Linked DNA regions of Cricetulus griseus. The protein of the gene in region 1 interacts with the protein of each later gene in a pairwise test. Links are inferred from orthologs where the notes say so. Each region holds a gene or a part of one and is shown in the gene's direction. Other genes may lie near its edges. The genes, in order: Hsd17b14, Mpg, Ca8 and Nek6.

Region 1 (5,555 bases):
GAACTGAGAACAACCGTTTTTCAGCACAGCGCTACCATAGATTACCTGTCACTCAGACAGTGCTGGCTGTCAGCAGCTTCCTACAATGTGCTGTCTTAAAATCTCCGGCTTCTCTCATACTATTTGAAAGGTTCAGGCATTATGCTGAACCTGGTGGAACAGGCAGTACCCTGTAAGTCTGCACGCAGGTGCAGAGGACCCCTTTAAAAGACAGACCCCTGCCCCTTTACTCTCTCTGTCCCCGTCCCCCTCCCCCGTCCCCCCGTCCCCCCCCCCCCGCTCTGTTTCCTCTCAGCTTCCTTTCTACTCTCTCTCTCACCTATGCGCTCTCTCTATGGCGACAGGCCATGGCGGTCAGCCATTACCCTGTTCTTCTTCTCTTAGTCTCCCCATTCTGCCGGGCCTTATAATAAACTTATAGTCAATATGTCTCATGTCTAAGCATTTCTCTTCTCTTCTTTTTAAACAAAAGAATAACACTATTGACAACCAAACTGGTGACCTAAGTAAAGAAACAGACAGAGTCTCTCAAATAAACTTGGCCTGGCCAATATGGCTAAGATGGTTCTCCCCCTTCACTGGCCCTGTAATATTACTTCTACTTTTTATCTCTTTTTTTTTTTTTTGGCTTTTTGTTTGTTTTTTCGATTTTGGGGTGGAGGGAGGTTTTTGAGACAGGGTTTCTCTGTGCTTTGGAGCCTTTCTTGTCTTGTAGACCAGGCTGGCCTTGAACTCACAGAGATCCACCTACCTCTGCTTCCCGAGTGCTGGGATTAAAGGTGTGCACCACCAACGCCCAACTTCTACTTGTTATACTTGTTATCATAATCTGGCCCTGTGCCCTCCAGTGTGTCACTAACTTGATCACTTGTCAGATAAACAATGTTAGAATCACTGCTGCTTGAGAATATTATTAAGACAACCCCCATCATGGACTTGACAGGGAAACACAAGTCAAGGGGGAACGAGGAACCGGTCTGACTCCATTATGCAGTTTTTTAAAAAAATAAGTTTCTGCAGGGCAAGAAAGCCTGTCTGGAAAATCCAAAAAGAATAAAAAATAAATAAGTTTCTATTTACTGTGAGAGTTGAGCTGCTCTCTGTTTTTTGGAATCTGACCTTGATTTGTTTTTGAGAATACCCTGGCTCTCCTTGACCCCTCCCTGACACCTCCCTAATCACATGATGGGTGACCTCATGACTTTTTAAGTTTTTTTTTTTTTTGTATTTTCTTATTGTCCCATTCTCTCCCTTCTGTAAAACTACTTGTGATTTTACTTCTTAAAAGAGGTCCAAGAGGTGGATTCGGGGCTGCTCTCTTTAACCTGATTTAGCAGGCAGTCACTGGCCAGCTCTTGAGTGAATCCCAATAAAAACAAGGCAGACAAGCTTGCTCCAAATTTGGATCAAATTGTGGTAGTGATTAACAGTATGAGGAAGTTGGGAGCCAGATATATTGTGTCTGGGGAAGGAGGCTGGAGAGCCTGTTTTTCTAGGTCAGAGGAAGAGGTGCTGATCTTATGGGTCTCAGGAACAGGGTTAGAGTCAACGTGATGGGGGCGGGCTGGGGCCAGGACCCTGAGTCTGAAGGAGGAGTGTCAGGGTGGGGACCCCAGCGTTTGAGAAAGAGAAGCTAGGACTCAACCTCCAGGTCTGAGGCAGGTTCGCAGGTGTGTGGCCCTCCCGGGAACACCCCTCCAGGGCCAGCCTACAAGGACCCAGCCTGTCTGGTTCCATCCCACTGCTTTCCTGGACTTTGGAGGTCGAAAGAGGCCGGGAGGGCGAGGGCGTGGGAGACAAGACAAGTCACCTGGGAATGGCAGCTGTAAACCGATACTCCGGGAAAGTGGTGGTGGTGACCGGGGGTGGTCGAGGCATTGGGGCTGGGATCGTCAGAGCCTTCGGTGAGTCAGGGTCTTCCTGCCCGATGTCTGAATGTGGGAAAGGGTGGGGTGGGGTGACAGATTCACGGAGTGGGAGGGAGAGACCTGGTTTCACTCTTTTTAAAATGATTTATTCATTCCTTAGTGATTTGTCTATTCTTATTTTTTTTTCTGTGCATTGTTTTGCGTTTGTGTGAGGGTGTTGGATCGCCTGGAACTGGAGTTACAGTTGTGAGCGTGTGGGTGCTGGGAATTGAACCCGAGTCCTCTGGAAGAGCAGCCAGTGCTCTTCGCCACTTAGCCATCTCTGCGGCCCTCAGTCTCATTCTTACATGAGGCGGTTTGGACTGTTGGGTAAGCTGGTGTAGTGATGGCTTCTGCTGGTGCCGATAAGACTTTTATGAAGAGTTCTTTGCCTGGCCAGGAGGCAGAGGCAGGTGGATCTTTGAGTTGGAGGCCCGCCTGGTCTACACAGAGAGTTCCCGGACAGGCAGGGCTGCACAGAGAAACCCTCTCGAAAAGCCAAAAAGAGTTCTTCCCTTGATGGGTCCCTAGCTACAAACGATAGCTTTGAGGAATGTTAGGTTTGGGATTTTTCTGGAACCTAGGATGGCGGTGGAGCAGAGGAAGGGAAATTCTGCCCTTTGAGAGGCCTGTCCCGAGGCAGTCACGAGAGCTGCCGAGAGCCAGGTGCTCTCCGTGTCACAAGAGGCAGCAGAGGCTCGCCCCGAGTCTGCAGGGTCCATAACTCACTCTCTCTCTCTCTCTCTCTCTCTCTCTCTCTCTCTCTCTCTCTCTCTCTCTCTCTCTCTCTCTCTCTCTCTCTCTCTCCTCTCTCTGTTGGCAGTGGACAGTGGGGCTCAAGTTGTTTTCTGCGACAAGGATGGTAAGTCAGTCCTCAACTATGCCTTCCTTCCGTCATCGCAGGGATCCAAGGCCAGCCCTGCTCCCTCAGACCCCAGACTCAGGAGTCCAAGCTCCTCCCCAGACTCTGATCCAAGCCTCAGCTCCCTCCCTCAGACCCGAGTCTTTCTCTTGCAGAGGTGAGGGGCCGGGCTCTGGAGCAGGAACTCTTGGGCACTGTCTTCGTCCCCTGTGATGTGACTCAGGAAGGAGATTTGCAGGTGGGCGTTCCCAGTGCACTCCCCCTTCTCCGTGCCCTGGGTCAGCTCAGTGAGCACAGTCCATCTGCCCCTTCTCGCTCCATTCTTTAGATCAAGCAGAACTTGAAATCCACACCCTCTGTTGTCATTTCTGATTCCCCTGCGCTCAGAATCAGTTCTGTGTCCCCAGGTCTGTCCCCAGTCTGTGCCCTGTCTCTGTGTCCCTGCCTCTGCCTGTCTGCTCCCCGCCCCCTCTGGATCTATCGTCGCTTCTTCCCGGACTCAGTCTTCTGCCCTCGCATTCATCTTCTATGGCGGTGCTGGTCACTTGACACAAGCTAGAGTCACTTGGGAAGAGGGGACTCAACAGAGAATATGGCCCCACCAAACGGGCTGTGGTGCATTTTCTTAATTAGTAGTTGATGTGGGAGGGCCCAGCCCCCAGCCCCCAGCCCCCTGGGGGTTGTGACATCACATAGCGGCAGAAAGGGGGCTGAACAAGCCACAGGGAGCAAGCCATGAGCAGTGTTCCTCCATGGTCTCTGCTTCAGTTCCTGTGCTGACTCCCCTCAGTGATGGCGTGTAACCTGAGAGTTGTAAGCAGAAATAAACCCTTTCCTCGCCAGATTGCTTTCGCTCCTGGTGTTGGGTCACAGCCATAAACCCTAACTATGACAAATAGCAACGTGGGTGCTTAGGTCTCTGGTCTGGGCCCCCAGCTTCCTGCCTTCTCTCCTCTTTCTAGACCTGCGCTGTGACCCTGAGCCTCTCCTCCCTCCCCCTACCTTGTCTTCCACAACTGAGCCTGTCCTTGCTTTGGCTTTTCCAAGGCTGCCACCTCACTGCTCATCACCTGCTGTTTGTTCTCTCCTCAGGCTCTGATTTCTGAGACCCTCTCTCGATTTGGCCACCTGGATTGTGTGGTGAATAATGCTGGCTACCGTAAGTTGTGTGGCTTGGGGCCTAGTGTCCCCTGATGTCAACTTACAACCTATTCCCTATTCCTTCCCCTTAGAGATGATTACATTTATCTGCACACCGGCATACAGTACTTGTGTGGTGTTCAGAGTACAACTGGAGGGGATTAGCTTTCTCCTTGTACCATGTGGGGTTGCGCTCAGGTTCTCAGGCTTGGTGGCAAGTGCCTTTACATTTGAGGCATCTCAACCCTTCCTCTGAACCTCAGTTTACTCCCTTCTCAGGCCACAGCCTTCGTGGTGTGTGTGTGTGTGTGTGTGTGTGTGTGTGTGTGTGTGCACGTGCACGTGCACGTGCACGTATTTTTATTTGCATGTATGTCTGTTCACCACTTACATATTTGGTGCCCACAGAGGCCAGAAGAAGCAGTTGGATCCCCTGGAACTGGAGTTACAGACAGTTGTGAGCTGCCATGTGGGTGCTGGGAATTGAACCTGGGTCCTCTGGAAGAGCAGCCTGAGCGTGCTCATAACTGCAGTCATCTCTCCATCCTCCCCCATCCTAATACATAGCTCTAGCCTGAGCTTCTTTCCTAGGCTATGTGCTCCCCATCTCCGTGACTCAGTTTCCATCTTTGAAATAAGAATTATCACAGCTGCAGGGTGGTGGTGGCACATGCCTTTAGTCCAGCACTAGGGAGGCAGAGTGGATCTCTCTCTGTCTCTGTGAGTTCGAGACCTTAGCTTCTAAAGGGAATAGGTCCAGAAACAGAGTCTCGGAGAAAAAAAGAAAAAAAAAAAAAAAAAAGAATCACCTTTTTCATTGGGGGTGCTGTAGTCTCTAAAGGAAGTCACACTTTGGGTAGCTCCTACTTTGCTGAAGGCCCAGGATCTTGCTGGTGATAAGGACATCCAGGCACACTTCATCAGACTCTGGGTGGTGTGGCACTCTGGAAGGTTTCCATTAGCCCAACAGGTGCACTTTAAGACAATGTGTCTCCTAGGGGCCTGGAGATGACTCAGAGGTTAAGAACACTGGCTGCTCTTCTGAGTTCAATTCCCAGCAACTGTATGGTGGCTCACAACCATCTGTAATGAGATCCTGTGCCCTCTTCTGGTGTGCAGGCATATATGCAGGCAAAACACCGTATACATAATAAATCTAAAAAAAAATAAAATAAAAAGACAATATGTCCCCATAGAAACTAAGGCTCAGAGAGCACCCAGGCCTTCCAGAGTCCCCTCAAAGATGGAGGTGCAGAGGATTGTCCCCTGGCCAGGGAGGCTCTCCTTGTCTTAGCCTCTTTTTTCTTCATTCACATCTTGGTAGGGATTCAGACTTGCAGGGACCTCATTGTCATCTGTGTCCTTCTTTTTTTAGGCTGATGTTTATTCAACACAGGCCACGTAACCAAACACTGTTGTGGGGAGTGCAGGGAAATTGATACTCCATATCGAGGAGAGGAGATATGAGTGATTTGGTCCTGGGATGGCAGGTGTAGGCCAGCATGTCTGCTCTGCAGAGACTGCCATGGCATTCACCGCCTGCAGTCTCCTTCCTTGCCTTGTAGCCTAGCTCTTTGCCTCTCATCTGTGCCATCACCCCTCTCCTGCCTCCTGCCTCCTACCCTCCTGGCCTGGCCTCATGTCTC
Region 2 (5,592 bases), on another chromosome or scaffold:
ACCAACCAGCAGTAAGATACACTGGGAACAGAAGAAGTCTCAGGCACCTTCCTCTTGGACATTCCCTTACTCCTGGCCAGCCTGCTGGCAAAACACAGCAAGGAAACACAAACCCACACTTCCAGCCAGTAGTGGGAGTTTCACACCACAAACCAGGAAGTGGGGAGGAGGGGGCAGACATTGCGCAATGCAATCCCACAGTCAGGCCAGAACATCTGGAGAATAGGATGCTGGCAACCACTCCCATCTCCTCCTCAGGCAGAAGCCAGGCTGGCCACCAAACAGAGGAGCTTCTCATTCACCCAAAGATAGGGACGAGATAGTTCTCTAGGAGTCTTCAAAATGCCCTCTTCTTCTCCCTCCTATCGGGACAAGAACCCAACGGGGGTCTCAGTTTCCCTCCTAGATTCGGAAGGGGCATTATTCCCACAGGAAGGGAGAGTCATTGTTTGGACGGAATGGCTGTAGGGGATAAGGAGGAAGGGGGTGGGAGCCACATCCAGGCCAATCTCATTAGTTCAAATTTACAACATATTGCCCCTACCCCACCCCCGGAAACGGCACAGAGTGCCACAAACAGCTGGATGACTTCCAACAGGCAGCAGGCAGGCAGAGAGGCTGCCCCTCCCTCCCCAGGAAGTCCTGGTTGAGGCCCATGAGAGGGGATGGCTGAGTCCCAGCCTGAGCTGGCCAGAGGAGAGCATTTGGGGACCAGAATCCTGATGCATAGCCTAGCCTTGGGCTAAGTGCCTTGCTCATCTGCTGGTCACAGACACGTGGCCTGTCCCTCTGTCCTGTCTAGCATCTCCCATCCCACACCCAAGTTGCTCTTCCATGCTAGGGTCAAGGAATTCAAACACAGCTCTGACAAACCCTCAAGGGTTTTGGCAAGCAGGGGCAGAGTGTGAATGGGGAAGGTAGGATTGTGTCTGCCAAGAAACCCTTCAGACCCAGATTCCCCCCTCCCCAGATAGTAGAAGAGGGTGAGACAGTGGCTGTGCTGGGTGTGGGGGCTGCCACGGAGCTGATGCAGCAAGTTAGATCATGGAGCACCTTACTCTGTCTCAAAGACCTCCCTTCCCTTGACCATTCCTTCCTCTGGGCCAGTCATTTTCCACTGGAGGCTCAAGTGTCCTCCAGTGGTGCACAGTCTCATTTGAGAGGCAACAGATAGGGTGGGTAGCAGGCCTAGGTCCTGGAGAGGCAATCATTAGAGGTGCCGGGCAACTGTTTGGGGGATTTTTTTAACTTTGTTATTTAAATTAGAAACAATCTTATTTTACATATCAATCCCAGTTCACTCTCCCTTCCATCCTCCCCTGTCCCCCACCGACTCCCCTCCCCCCATCCACTCCCCAGGGAGAGTGAGGCCTTCCATGGGGGAATCATCAAAGTCTGTCACATCATTTGGGGCAGGGCCTAGGCCCTCCCCCGTGTATTTAAGCTGAGAGAGCATCCTTCCACGGGGAAATGGACTCCAAAAGCCCATTCGTGCTCTAGGAATAAATACTGGTTCCACCGCAAGAGGCCCCATAGACTGCCTAGGCCTCCCAACTGTCACCGAAGCTCAGGGGCCCTGGTTTGGTCCTATGCTGGTTCTCCAGCTGTCTGGGCAACTGTTATCCAGTTAGATGGGTATTCCCAGATCCCTGCAGCCTTGGTCCTGCCCTACAAGCTGGCTCAGCTTAAGTGGTGAGCCCTCTTCTCAACAATTCCAGGTGGGGGTGGGGGTGGAGGTGAAGGGTCTACTGCCAAGGCAGGATTCCCTTTCCTTTCTCGTATCAGCTGTGATGACCGAGGAGGCGCCTCCAGGTGGGGCAGACATCCACTTCCGTTCAGTTCCACCTCCCTGCCCCCCATAGGGTTGGGGAAGGAGAGTTCCAGGATCAGAGTTCGGTGTGAGGTTCCCAAGGCCTTGTTTGTTCTCCACAGCACCAACCACACCCGCTGTGACCCAGCCCGTCCCAGAGCAAGGCCTTTGGCCCGGGACCCTCGGAAATTCAGTCCAGGTTCAGGGAGGTGGGACTTGACAGCAGTAGGGACAGCAGGATAGCCCCGGACTAGGAAACGTGGGTTTCAGCCAAAGCGGTGAAAGTAAAGAAGGTTCCCTCACTAGCCTCGCCTCTCCAACTAGGCTCCGCCTCTTCGCTCCACCCCCGAGCTTCGTGCCTTCTGCGCAGGAGCAGGCTCCTGTCCCCTCCCTCCCCGCGCTTCCGGCGGCCCGGCGCATCCTGTCGGCGGCTGGATGCGCGCCCGTGGCCGGGCCGGTGTGTGTGCGCGCCTCGGCAGAGGGTCTCTAAAACCGATGTCTGTGAGCTTGCCTCCTGACACCAACCAGCCTCTATTTCCTGGACGAGCCCGCCGCCCAGGGCGTGCCAGAGCAGGATCCCGAGTGACCGGATGCCGTGAGGCGGGCCAGATGCCAGCGCCGGTGAGACGGGGCGCAGCGTCGCGGAGTCTGAGCCCACGGCGAGCTGGCACAGTGGGTCGGGCTGCAGAGACGGTCACGTCAGCATCCATTCCGGGCAGCCTGACATCCTCGGTCCAACCTGGACGTCAGCACAACAGATAAAAATAATGGGTCTTTATCCGAGCGTGGTGGCGCACGCCTGTATTTCCAGTACTTGGGAAGTGGATGGAAGCAGGAGGATCGGGAGTTCAATGCCAGCATGGTCTACATGGGACCTTGCCTTTAAAAAAAAAAAAGTAATCGCTCATTAACCAGCCACGGAGCCGTGGTTATAGCTGAAGCCCAGTTTGGGCTGAAAACAGGTCTTGGCCCTGGCCCCAGGTTCACTGCCCAGTTGTCCCTTTCATCCCCCTTCTGTTGTACCACAATAGTTGAAGGATGTAGTGAGATTTCCCTACTTTGTTTACCCGGCTTTTGATAGACTAAGGCCTGCTGTGTCTTACTGACCCATAGACTTTTTGTCCCAGTTCCTAGTTATTCTCATACCCAAGCAGTCAGGTCAGTTGGGGGCCCTAAGCACTTAGAATGGGACCAGGGAGGTGGTCGTCCCCTTGTGCACCCACTTATGTGTCAGGTCTTCTGTTCAACACTGAGAGGGCCTGGTGACCTATACTTTTGAGCAATGACAGGACAAATTCAGTCTGTTTCTCTGCTAGGCCCTGCCCAGGTTCTGACTGTCTTTTAATTCCTGGCCAGGATTAGGAGCAAAGAGCCAGGTTCCAGAAACAAGTTTTCTTGGAGATGGTGTCATATATGGGAAGCAGAAAATACTGGCTCTTATGTATCAGACTCAGGCACCCACCTCTCCTTTTGCCCATGACCCAAGTTTCTCCTATGTACAGCAGGTGTGGGCAGAGAATGCCCACCCACCCTGATACCACTAACAACCTATTATTACCCACACCATGTTCCAAGGTCCCCTGAGGCTGTATTAACTATAGCCTTCTGTTTATGTCTCTGGAATGACCCACACAATGGGCACCCCACTTTGCAGATAAAGATACTCAGGCAAGTGGGAAGACACTTGGTTTTGTTTTTTTCCTACTACAGCTTTCCCAAAAGATCGGACAAAAAAAACTGCAACTAGCAGAATCACAGCAGCAGCAGATCCCTAAAGACAGGCCACCCTCATCCCTGGGCCTACAGCGGAGCATCTACTTCTCCAGTCCAGAGGATCACCCTGCCCGGCTGGGACCAGAGTTTTTTGACCAGCCAGCGGTCACCCTGGCCCGTGCATTTCTGGGACAGGTAATATAAATGCAGGTGCAGGTTCCAGGAGCCCTAGTCCTGTCACTCACTACTTGTTCACATCTCTGATTCGCCTTTGTTGTGCTCACACAGGTAGCCATCTTGTCCACATTGGCCGCGGATAGTTTGGTTATTGTCTAGGATCACTGCAAAGAATAAGAATATTGATAGGGGTGTTCCTTGTGGCGGTAGCAGGGCCACTGGCAATAATGGTATTATGTATTGGCCCCAGCATCTCTAAGGAGCCACTTTTGCCAATGGCTGGGGCCAAGGATACCATTAAGTTGCCAGTGTCTGAATCACTTAAAAGAGCTGGTCTCCACTGCATGGCTCAGTATGGGTCCAGGATCTGGGCTGGGCCAGGCATGCCTGGCGTGGGAAGTGGGGACTACCCCAGACCCAACCTGGTGTGGCCTATAATATATGCACATGATGGAGCTGGCCGTGTTCGTTTACAGCACCCACTATTCCTAGGTGCCAGAGCTGGTTTTAGGAGGTTTCCTGGCCCACCTTTTTCTCCTAACAAGCTTCCCTTTAGGGTAGCATGGCCAAGGACATCCGGTTTCTCTAATGGAAGAACTGGTGCTAAGAGTTCCATGTTAACAGGAACAGACCCTGAACAGAAGGGACTTAATTCTGTTGTCAAGGATGTGTTCTTTCTAAAAGCCCCATAATAATCAACATCTATGATTATGACAAACAACATGGTTTTTTTTTTACGTTAGGTTTAGGTCAAGAGCCCAAGGATGGTCACCACCACCATACATCTGCCTCTGTTCAGCATCCTGGATATGTCAACGGGCTGGGCTCCCTGTCATGCCTGCTTGAGCCCATATTGGTAGACAAGATGATGTCTGGCAGGAAAAGGGGTATTTTTTAGCCTGTGCATTCCTTTGGTCAAGGAAAACCCAGGTGTGGGTCACAAGCTCAGTAAAGATTCACTGTAGTGAGTTGCTGGGACAGCAAACGGCTGTGGACTGAGGATCGTGTTGCCTTCCCAGGCCCTCCACCAGAAAAGTCCTGGGAGCTCCCTCCAGCTCAGCTGGGGTGCCCCAGTGTGCCCCTTGGAGATATGGGAGCATGCAAGTATAGTTAGTGAAGGAACACTCCCTGACCTTTTTCTCCTTCCAAAACATTCATTCCTGTCTTCAGTGTTTTGGGTTCTAGAAAGGATTTCCAGGCTTCCAAGACAAGCACTGACCCCTTCTTTTCCTCCACTCTGCCTGTTACATTGACCCTGAGGCACCATGGGTCAACCTGGACTGAGATGAAGGTGCCTTCTGACCAAATAACCCCTCAAACCTAAGGATGTGAGGTGCTGTTGACATGGCTGGATGCTGAAATCCTTCCATGAGCCCTAGTTAAGACAGCTGGCCATTCTTAGGATCATGGACCAGGCTAGGCACTACATGAGCTGGCCCCGCTGGTCCTGTTTCTCATTAAGGTCAGCACTAGTAGGCAGTCTCAGTGTAGATCCTTTGTGGCTATCCTAGTTTAACAAGCACATCACAGAATCTGAATATCCCAGGAAATGTGTAGGGACCCCTTGGGGCCACTGAACATTTAAGGCTCTCAAGGGAACGGTGGGAAGAGGATGTGGGAAAGCCAAGAACGCCACTGAGGGGAATTTGAGGTCAACCTGCACAGTGAATACAAGTAAATTCTCAAGATGTGGTCAGAACCCTTAGTGAACAACAACAACTATAGTTGGTCAAGAAGGGGTGGTGACCTTAATATCAGCATTCAGGCTCTGAGCAGGAGCAAAAGAAGAGGCAGAATGGAGGAACCAGGTGGCTGGGTCTCTCTGGGCTTGGGTTCCTGGTACATCCTGAGCTTAAGAGAGGAGGTCTAGGTGGGGATTTTTCAGCTTGGTT
Region 3 (5,461 bases), on another chromosome or scaffold:
GTTGGTAATTAGCAGTGTGTGAAGTGCACAGTCTCAAAGCAATTAAGGATGGTAATTGAAAATTTGGTTGCAGAGCAGAACAGCTCATATGTAGCTGGAGGTACTGCTTACTTGCTTACAGGAGTTACATTATACAAAAGAGGTTGAAAATCCGGAAAGAACAAATATGGGCCAAACAAGTGCCTGTCTCATAAGCAGCCCCATTTTTTGAATAGCAGTACCTATTAGCTGCAAACTTTAATATTAACAACACAAACTTTCAGCCTATCTCTTGTAAATATGCACACTATTTACTTATGACAAACTTACCTGCCAAGGAGAGTCGGCTGTCATTTGATTTTGTACTTTAAATGTAATTAGTGGTCACACAATGGGCCACAATGTCACATCTATGCCCATTTGGGAGGCACAGGGGAATATCAATGATGAGTTTGGAATGGACCAGGGATTTTGTTATAGACATCCTATATAGTCTTTGTGTGGACTTCATAAGCTATGGCATTTCATTAATGTGAAAGTATATACAAGAAACTCTAAACAAATCCAGTCTTGTGAAAAGATTTGAAAGTAAAGTGAAAAAGAAATGCAAAATTCCTTTTAGATGAACAACAGTAGAAAATGGTGGATGCTTTTTGTCAGTGCTTATGGGTGAGTGGGCTCTGGGGCTTATTAAGTAGCAGATAAAATGCCACTAAATATGTGGAAAGGCTGAGAATTCAGGGTGAATTTAGTGTCTGATTATTTTTTTCTTCTGGATGGGGAAGTCAGTTTGCAGCCTCTGTAATAGAGAAAAGAAATGGCATATGCTTGAAATCCATAGGTTTTGTTGGTGCTGAAGTTGGTCAACAATTTTCACTTTTCAGAAAGTGTCAAGTAGGCCAACTCCTGATTTTTTTTCTCCTTAGCCTCCATCCACTTTCTGAAGACGTATCTAACAGATGGTGATGTGATTTTTAAAGTTAAGGTTCCAGCAGGCAGTGAAGGATAGGAATCCAGCATCTCAAAGTCCCCCAATTAATCATCTCCATCCTGTTTGAGGAACTAGCATGCATAAAGATGTAACGATCTAGGAACCACAGTCCATTAATCTGCTCACAGACATTTTGGAGTGTGCACAGGATATATAAAAGGTAAATTGTACGCCAGGCCTGCAGCCGAGCTTATCATACAAATATATCTCCTAAAATGTGGAGAACAGAAGCTTAGGGGTTACTGAACAGGGCTGGAACACAGAGATGAAGCATTAGCCTGGGGTTGGGAAACATGTTCCAGAGGTAACGACTTGACCTCTTTGGATCAGGGAAAGTTCCTGTTTGTTTCGTAATGTGTGCATTTCATTATTTGCACGATTTCACGAGTTGCTTGGGAGCAGTGTACGCAGTAAGGTGAGTCTGAAGCAGCACCCCGGACTTAGAAAGTGGAATCAAACACCCTGTTTCCTTGTCTTTGAAATACATTTAGTAAAGACCTCCCAAAGTATACCTACTTCTTGATGCTAAATTCGTCCTTTTCTTTTCCTGAAATGTTTGTAGGAGTTTCTTGAGGGAAAAAATGCTATGCACATTTTCACTGTGCTCTAAGGACGAATTAAAAAGTAAAACCAGCTCACAGGACAGCGACCCAGGCTGTGGTGGTGCATTCTTGCAACCCCAGTGTTTACGAAGTTCAAGGTCATTCCTTTCTCCACAGGGAGGAGTTTGAAGCCAGCCTGGTCTCCTTGAGACCCTGTCTTACAAAATCAAGCCCCAACAAAACTAACGGGTAAATGATGGGGAATAAACCCTTTGACCACAGTCTTATTGAGTTCTCGGTCTTCAATGCCCTTCCCATGCCAAGGCCACCCATCCGCTCATTTCAGGACATTGCCTGGAGCAAGGTGAGGCGCCCGGGCCAGGCGGGTCCTGGGGTCGCGCTTGGGCGCAGCAGGCTTCCTGGGGTGCAGCCACCCCAGCTCGGCTTTCTGCTGGCGGCTCTGTTGGGGGGGGGAGGAGGGAGGGTGTTAGTAGGGGGCGGGTCTTCAGGCCAGACACGCCCCCACCGGCCTTAAAACGCGCCAGCCTGAGTCCAAGCCGCCGCTGCTCGCGCTCGCGGGGACTGCCACGCTCCGCGCGGCCCCCAGCCCCGCGCCTGCCGCACCCGTGCCGCACAGCTGCCCATGGCTGACCTGAGCTTCATCGAGGATGCAGTTGCCTTCCCCGAGAAGGAGGAAGACGAGGAGGAGGAGGAGGAGGGCGTGGAGTGGGGCTACGAGGAAGGTAGGTTCCTGGGGCTGCTGTCGCTGCTTCTCTGCCCGGCGCGGTCCGGCGCCTTCCTCTCCGAGGCTGCCCGTCCGCAGTTCGCACCTGCTGCTCTCAGGCAGCCCAGCCCGGAGCAAACCTAGTTGCTTCCTAGTCTTGAGAAGTACAACCAAATGCGCCAAATGCGTCCCGAATTCAAGCTGGGTCAGTGTTCTTGGAGACTTTAAAAGGAGTTTCCTAAATCTGTCCCGGAAGCCCAGGACTCCTAATAGACATTAGTGCCCATGTTTACTGTATACAGAGGGAAAAAAGCGCAAAGGAGTCCATAAACATGTGCATGGGATACTGTATTTGCTTTTTAAACAAGTGTTGCTACTCAGCACCACAGGGTTTCTGCTGTCTCTGAGCATGTTGAACATTGCAGATATTTTCTAAGTATTGCATGTAATTGAACTGATGAGCAGAGGAAATTCTTGTGGCGTTTTTTCTGATCACTTAAAAATGACTTACGTTTCCCAAATCCCTAAAATCAAGGCATCTGTGTGCACAGATATAAACACACAGTAAAGAATTTCGTGTGTGGTATTATAAATATAAACAGATCACTCACATAATGAATGTAAAAACCCATACACATTTCTCATATTTCATTTATATATAGATGGTAGTCATAGCTATAATATCAAGGATTATGAGTTTTTATGTTATATTTTATTGTTGCTAACTTAAACAAAACCTATTCTCAATTTTTGTTATTTTCTCCTCAGGTGTTGAGTGGGGCTTGGTGTTTCCCGATGCCAACGGGGAGTACCAGTCTCCTATCAACCTAAATTCCAGAGAAGCTAGGTACGATCCGTCGCTGCTGGATGTCCGTCTGTCTCCGAATTACGTGGTCTGCAGGGACTGTGAAGTCACCAACGATGGACACACCATTCAAGTTATCCTAAAGTCAAAATCAGGTATTTTGGAAAGTGTGTTTCTGCGCTTTTGTGAGCAAGTGGACAATCTCTGATTTAACTTACAGGGTCTTAAAGGGGGCACCGATGCAATTTCTATCTTCATAGTTCTTTACAAGATGCATTTTCTGGGAATTATATTCTGAAATAGCTGTGAAGGGCTAAGAGGGTGAAGTGATGGCTGTCTCAGCTGGCTGTTCTCCCAAAGCTGTGCCTGGAGCCGCCTCTGTTGCTTGAACAAACATTTACCGAACTGTGGGGAAAGCAGTACATACACAGGCATGTTTATTTGAGTTTTTTTTTTTTCTGTGCATCTTGTTCAAAATTATTGATTAGCTGAAATCATTTAATTATAATTCTTCGTTTTTCTGGTTTGTGAAACCAAAGATCAGAATTTATTGATGTTGTTCATGTTCAAGATAAACTTTTCAAATTAAATTTCCCTTCTCTATTAATGTCAAGAATGATTTTAATAACAGTTCAACCCAGCCAGATATTTAAATGGAAACCTAGCTGGATATTTAAATGGAAGCTTAGCCAGATATTTAAATGGAAACCTAGCTCTTGGTTTTGTTTAGTTTTACACACCCTTCTTCGTGAACCTAGTTGAAATGGATCTGAAATGGTTTGTGGAAAAATTAAATTTCCAGGGAAATTGGTTTTCAGCTTAATTGTAGGAGAGATGAAAGCAGATTAAAAAAACAAGCATTAACATTGTGTTTTTCAGGGGGATAATGACCGTTTTCCTCCTGGAAAGAATGGAACATTAGAGTATGTTGGATGTTGATGTGAGCTTTAATAGGCTGTGCTTACGTTAACTTCAGATTGATAGGGTAGGTATTTTAAATCATAAAACCTTTAGGTCTGACATTAGGCAAGGAAGGTACGGATTTCTTCCTTTAACTTATCATGTTTCGGCACTTTATTTGAAATCTGTGAGATAGAACATGTATTCTTTGAGGCTGTTGTAAGTTTAATCAAGGTTGTGATGGCTCCTGAAGCACAGTCTGTGTTTTGTATAGAGTTAGTATATTTCTTCCTAAGTTCCTCCTATGTCTTGGAGATGTTTACCTCTGGCTATGGTATATTTTACATTACCATATACTTGGTATACTCCTTTGTCCTTTTCCTCCTCTGACTTCCACTCCTGAGTGGTAGGAAGAACCACCTGTATTTCTGTCCTGCTCCAGGTTTTGTCCTCCAGTCCTCTGGGACTTTCCTCCCTCACATGCTCTGTTCTCTTTCTGTCACTGCAGTAATTTCTCCTTTTCAATATTTCAGCAAACTTAAAAGTTAATTGGTGGTGTGCATGGTGGCACACACCTTTAATTCCAGCCCTCCAGAAGCAGAGGAAGGTTGATCTCTGTGAGTACAGGCTAGTCTGATCTACATAGTGGACACTTATCTAAAAAAGACAAGTAACTGAAAAAAACAATGTCTTGAGTAGTTTATTACCTTTTTTAGGATATTTCAGCTTCTGTAAACTCTGAACACCATTATTTATTTAAGGAAGTATTTTCTTTATCAAAATGGAATACAGACATAATTTGAATAGTTGGCTATTTCTTTATTTTCTCTACCTCTAGCTACAGCCTATCTCACTCCTCCTACAACTTGTTTTTCTCTAGCAACAACTACTTTGAATCTCTAAGAATTATTTTTTGTTTGCTGAAGTCATAATATAATTTCATCATTTCCCTTTCCTTTCTCCAAACCCTCACATATACCTTTTCTTGCTCTTTTTCAAACTCATGACCACTTTTCATTAATTGCTGTTATATACATATATGTAAATTTATGTACATATATATTCCTAAATATATAAGTACAATCTTCTCAGTCTGTATGTACTTAGATGTTTGTTTTTGGGGCTGAACCTTTTTAAATGGCTTCTCTTTATTTCCTAATAACATGTGTATGTTATTCTGATGTTTAAGAGCTCTCCGGGCTCCCTGCTGTGGAAGGGGAGGCGGTCTTAAAAGCCTCTCCTGTCCTGGTTTTGCCCCACATGCCTAAATTATGCAGTTAGTAAAATTAATACTCAAAACATTATTGCTATGACCTTGCACCTGCCATTTCTGCTCAAGACTATATTCTGTTTCCTTTATAGAACAATGTTTTCTCCTGGAGTTACTGTATTTTTGGGTATTTATTTTTAAAGTTACCTAACAGGAATTCACTTTTAACTCTGACACATGATAGGTCCTGTCTCAGGACATTCAAAGGCACCGAATCGTCCTTCCTTCCCTCCTGTCCTTTTTCCTGCCC
Region 4 (4,838 bases), about 4.6 Mb from region 1:
GGCCTTGAGGCTGAGTCCCTGAATAGAGAGAACTGCTCAGCCAGGCATCCATGGGAGAGAATGGGAAGACACTAGCTAGCTTCTTGGTAGCAGCATTCACCTGTGATGCTCACATTCTCTCCAGGCCTCTAGGGCATCTGGCTCCTGTAGTTGGGAAACGGCTGCTCTTTTCTTTGCAGAGGTTATTCTGGGCCATCTGACTTCTTTTTGAATAATGGCTACTGTGCTGGCATACTGCCAATGGCTGCCTTTGGTCCGCCCCTACAAGTCTTAGGCTTTGGGTCCCTGTTGAAGGAGTGACATACCACTAGTCAGGGTGTGACCTCAGCAAGGCTCAGTGGTCCTCAGTCCCTGCTCTGTGTGGTAGGCATTATGGGACACAAGTGAACTTGACAGCATGGTCTCTGACTTGGCTGACTTGGCTGTTGCTGAGAGTTGGGACTGTGCTTCTTCTGAGGTCTTAACAATGAGCAGGCTGAGCAGAGGGTCGAATCCAGTCTACAGGCACTGGTTTTAACTTCCATTTCTGGCTTCCTCTTGCCCTAGATCTTTGAGATGATGGATGCCAAAGCAAGGCAGGACTGTGTCAAGGAAATTGGTCTTCTAAAGGTGAGTGGCCTGGATCAGGCCAGTCTTGATTGGGCCAGCTCTCTAGGTTTCTACGGGTCAGACAACCTGGGCGTATCCGGACAGCACACATGGAGCATCGGGTTTGTTTGCAGTTGTCCCTGTCTTCTTCCCAGTGATCCCATATTGATTTCCCCAGAGCCACAGATAGAACTTCCAGACTGGACTTGGACCCCAAGCTGGAGGCTAGAAGAAGAAGAAAGTGTTGGGTTACAGTACTATTGTCTTCCTTTTCAAGCTGTGTGACTTAACTTTCACAAGTGACTTAACCTCCACCAGCCTCTGTTTAGCCATCTTGTAAATAGCAGGAAGACCTCCCTGACAGGTTTGAGAGGACTATGGAAACAAAACAACACAGGCCTGGGGACCCAGCTCTGTTGGTAGAGTGATTGCCTCAGAAGCATGAGTATAGGAATTCAATCCCTAGAACCAATTTTTTGTTGTTGCTTTTTGTTAAGACAGAGTTTCTCTACATAGCCCTGGCTGTCCTAGAACTCACTCTGTAGACCAGGCCGGCCTTGAACTCACAGAAATCCATCTGCCTCTGCGTCAGGAGTGATGCAATCAAAGGTGTGAGCCCCCTCCCCCAGCCTCCACATTTGTTTGTTTGGTTTCTTTAAAAAGCCAAGCAAGGTAGGTATTGCACACTCTAGCCTAGTGCTGAGGTGTAGACCCTAGGGCTTCTGAGGCTCACTGGCCAGATAATCCAGTCCAATTAAGCAAGCTAGTAATCAGTAAGACATCCTGTCTCAAAAAATAAGGAGAGGCCAGCAAAGACAGCTCAGTGAGTAAAGCACTTGGCATGCAAGCCACCTGAGCAAGTCCCCAGAGCCCATGTAAAGATGGGAGAACTGACTTGACATCATCCTGTGATTGCTACACAGGTGCATGGCATGCACATCACTCACTCACACACACACACACACACACACACACACACACACACACACACACACACACTAATAATGAACAGAAATTGTAATGTTCTCTGATGGCAACCAAAGCTGGTGTTAGTTCCCAACATTCTCAAAACAATTCAGTAGGACAGAGGAGAGTTGGAACAGGGTGCTGGGAAAGCGGACTTGCCGATGAGAAAGAAGAAGCTGTAAACCCTGCGTCACACCACATACATGCTTGTGAAATGGATTAGTCAAAAATAAAATGAAAAACTAAATTGAGGAACATTTCTGTAGTCTGTGAGAAGATTTGAAAGTTAAAGCTAAGCCAGGTATGGTATCATCCACCTGTAATTATATAGCCTGCAACACAGAGGAGGCTAAGGCAGAAGAATCACCTGGAGTTAAAGGCCAGCCTGGGTTACATAGTGAATACCAAGCCATTCTGGGCTGATGTACAGAATGAGATCCCCAAGGACTGAGCAAAACACAAGCTAAGGCTATAATCAAAAGTTTGTAGGAGAAAACTACAGCGACTTATCATAGCTGGAGCACACAGAGTTGTCCCCAAATATCAAGGGCATTAGCCACAAAAGGCCAGAATCATCTATGTCTGTGGCTACCATACAGAGATGAAAATGCAAGTCACAGCCAGGAGACAGCATCAGCAACCTCATCACTTCATTGACAAAGGTCTTATGCATATATGAGCTGACAGATCAGTAGTGATAAGTAAATAACCCAGGGCCTAATCGGGTTCAGTGTTTTCAGAGCTCCAGGGCATCTGGTCCGTAACCCCACCTTACCCCATGCCCACTCCTCTAGGCTCCTAGCGCCACCTGCTTTGTCACTCTGTTCTCTGTTCAGCCTCTGGGATGTACCTACCATAGGGCCTTTGCACAAGCCATATCCACTCAGACCCCTGCCCTCAGGAATTCACATTAGGCTTGAGGGCAGCCTTTCCTTCTGGCCCAGTCCAGCTGAGCTCAAAGGCTGCTGGAGCCTCGGTAAACATGCTGTCAGTCAGACCCTGGCTGTCCACTGATAGATGAGCAGTATCAACCACGTTGTAGCAGTGTTGGAGTCTTCTTTTGCTTCCCTAGACCCAGTAGCCATGTAGGTATAGTGTCACCACCAGGGTCCTCTCTGTGAGGTAGAGCTGATTTTTACCACCCTGCCTGGCCTCCACTCACTTCCTCACCATGGAGACCAGAGGCAGGAACCTACACTAGGAGTGTAAGTTAAGGGTTCTTAGGGTAGAAAGGATTCTTAGTTTCTAAGGGATGGCTGAGACATTGAGAAAGAACAAAAGAGCAGGAATGTTTCTGTGAACACTCCTGGGCAGAAGCTGGCCTGATGCTGCACTGGAGGTGTCTTAGGGGAATGTGTGCAGGGCAGGCACTGCAGCCATGCCACTCATCACTGATGTGACTCCCCCCCCCCCCTTTCTGGTACAGCAACTGAACCATCCAAACATCATCAAGTACCTGGACTCATTCATTGAAGACAATGAGCTGAACATTGTTCTGGAGTTGGCTGATGCAGGCGACCTCTCACAGATGATCAAGGTCAGAGCACCCTTCTCTCAACCTGAATGGCACTTCTCCACGTCCCAGCAACAGCCTTGGCCTGGTTCTGACCTCCTATGTGCTGTCAGGCTCCTTGGGGCACACAAAGCAAGGTAGACTGATGCCTAGACAGGATGATGACTGGGTAAGGGCTATGGTACACATAAGGGACCCTTTGGACCAACCACACTGCTCTAGCTCAGAGCACATGAGGACACTTTTCTCTTCAGAAGGAACAGGAACCTCTAAAGATCAGACTCCAATTTCTGTCTTAAGTTACTATTACTGTGATGAAACACCATCACTAAAGCAACTTGGAGAGGAAGGGGATTTATTTTGCTTACACCTCTCCATCAAAGGAAGCCAGGATAGGAACTCAGAGCAGGAACTGGAGGCAGGAGCTGATGCAGAGGCTATGGATGGGTGCTGCTTACTGGCTTGTTCCTCTGGCTTACTCATCTGGCTTCCTTATGGCCCCCAGGACCACCTGCCTAGAGGATAGCACCATCCACACATGGCTAGACCCTCCCCCATCAATCACTAATTAAGAAAATGCCCTGAAGGCTTGCTTACAGCCTGATTTTATGGAGTCATTTCTTAAATGAGACTCCCTCCTCAGATGACTATAGATTGTATCAAGTTGCCATAAAACTATTCAGCACAATCGACCCCTTATCAGCTTGACACACAAGCACATCACTGTTGAGCCACAATCTTCCCTTTCTTGTTTTTTCCCCAAGATCACACACTAATATCAACATCACAATATTTTACAAACTTAAAAAGTCCCCCAGTCCTCTACAAATTCAAAAACATTAAAATTCAGGCTCTTTAAAAATTCCAAGTCCGTTTTAAAAATTCAAAGTCTTTCAGCTGTGGGGTCCTGTAAAATAAAAAATAAGTTAAGTATTTCCTTACTTTAGGGGGGAAGAATAGGGCACAGTGACAATGTGAACAAAGCAAAACCAAGCTCCAGCTGAGTAAATAGTGCAGTGTCCACTCACGCTCTTCTGGGTTCTTTCAAAGGGTTTGTGTCACTTGTCCAGCTCAGTCCTCTGCAGCACACACAGCTTGTCTTCCAAGTTCAGGGAGGCTCCACTCCACCTCTGCTGCTGTTCTTGGTGGTCATCCCATGGTACTGGCATCTCAAACAGTGGAGTCTTCTGGTGCAGGTGGGCGGCACTTTTCACCAGTAGCCTCTCCTGGGCTCTCACAGTGCCAAGTCTCAGCTGCTCTCCATGTCCCCAGCATTTCTTCAACACCCCCCCCCCGCCTGCCCCAGTGATTCTTCCACTACCAAGTTTAGCTGCCAGCACAAGGTGCAACTTTGGCCGCCTCTGAACACAGCTTCTGTGTGCTGACTCAGGAAAAACGTCTCAGGGGATTTCACCTCAGTGATGCTGGTCTCCTCTATCATCTCCAAGTTCTCAGCTCCAGCTGACCAGCATCAATTAGTCCAGCAAAGTAGAGGTTTCGCTTTAGTGGTCCAGTCTCTTGTTAATCACAGCCAATTTTTCAGCCCCAGCTGAACAGAACCACAGATTCTTAATTCAAAATGTGCAGTGGCCCCATAGAGTCTTTAAGTGACATGTCCTATGGCTCCAGCTACCACATTCTATAGTAGGGGAAACTGAGGTCCAGAAAGGTTGGCTTGTCTGAGAATACTGTGTGGGAGCTCATACTGTGTACCTGGTCTGGAATTGGTCAGAGGTCATTGTCTCCACAACCCAGCCTTTGGACAGGTGTA

What was found.
Region 2: the proteins of Hsd17b14 (region 1) and Mpg interact in binary tests that used the Homo sapiens proteins (3 or more experiments, as listed by UniProt). The two-hybrid records come from large-scale screens. The link is inferred for Cricetulus griseus from reciprocal best matches to the Homo sapiens genes HSD17B14 and MPG.
Region 3: the proteins of Hsd17b14 (region 1) and Ca8 interact in binary tests that used the Homo sapiens proteins (3 or more experiments, as listed by UniProt). The two-hybrid records come from large-scale screens. The link is inferred for Cricetulus griseus from reciprocal best matches to the Homo sapiens genes HSD17B14 and CA8.
Region 4: the proteins of Hsd17b14 (region 1) and Nek6 interact in binary tests that used the Homo sapiens proteins (3 or more experiments, as listed by UniProt). The two-hybrid records come from large-scale screens. The link is inferred for Cricetulus griseus from reciprocal best matches to the Homo sapiens genes HSD17B14 and NEK6.

The regions. Positions count from the first base shown.
Region 1 is NC_048599.1:154,464,108-154,469,662, forward strand, and holds the start of Hsd17b14 (17-beta-hydroxysteroid dehydrogenase 14), read left to right. Parts: upstream 1-1,816; coding exon 1,817-1,904; intron 1,905-2,730; coding exon 2,731-2,769; intron 2,770-2,924; coding exon 2,925-3,007; intron 3,008-3,861; coding exon 3,862-3,928; intron 3,929-5,555. UniProt on the Homo sapiens protein: Catalyzes the NAD(+)-dependent oxidation of L-fucose, yielding L-fucono-1,5-lactone, which rapidly converts spontaneously to L-fucone-1,4-lactone. Can also act on D-arabinose and L-galactose, with lower catalytic efficiency. Does not use NADPH.
Region 2 is NC_048600.1:46,003,959-46,009,550, reverse strand, and holds the start of Mpg (DNA-3-methyladenine glycosylase), read left to right. Parts: upstream 1-2,188; 5' UTR 2,189-2,245; coding exon 2,246-2,431; intron 2,432-3,520; coding exon 3,521-3,718; intron 3,719-5,592. UniProt on the Homo sapiens protein: Hydrolysis of the deoxyribose N-glycosidic bond to excise 3-methyladenine, and 7-methylguanine from the damaged DNA polymer formed by alkylation lesions.
Region 3 is NC_048595.1:152,452,412-152,457,872, forward strand, and holds the start of Ca8 (carbonic anhydrase-related protein), read left to right. Parts: upstream 1-2,155; coding exon 2,156-2,255; intron 2,256-3,004; coding exon 3,005-3,196; intron 3,197-5,461. UniProt on the Homo sapiens protein: Does not have a carbonic anhydrase catalytic activity.
Region 4 is NC_048599.1:149,828,938-149,833,775, forward strand, and holds part of Nek6 (serine/threonine-protein kinase Nek6), read left to right. Parts: intron 1-546; coding exon 547-609; intron 610-2,980; coding exon 2,981-3,091; intron 3,092-4,838. UniProt on the Homo sapiens protein: Protein kinase which plays an important role in mitotic cell cycle progression. Required for chromosome segregation at metaphase-anaphase transition, robust mitotic spindle formation and cytokinesis.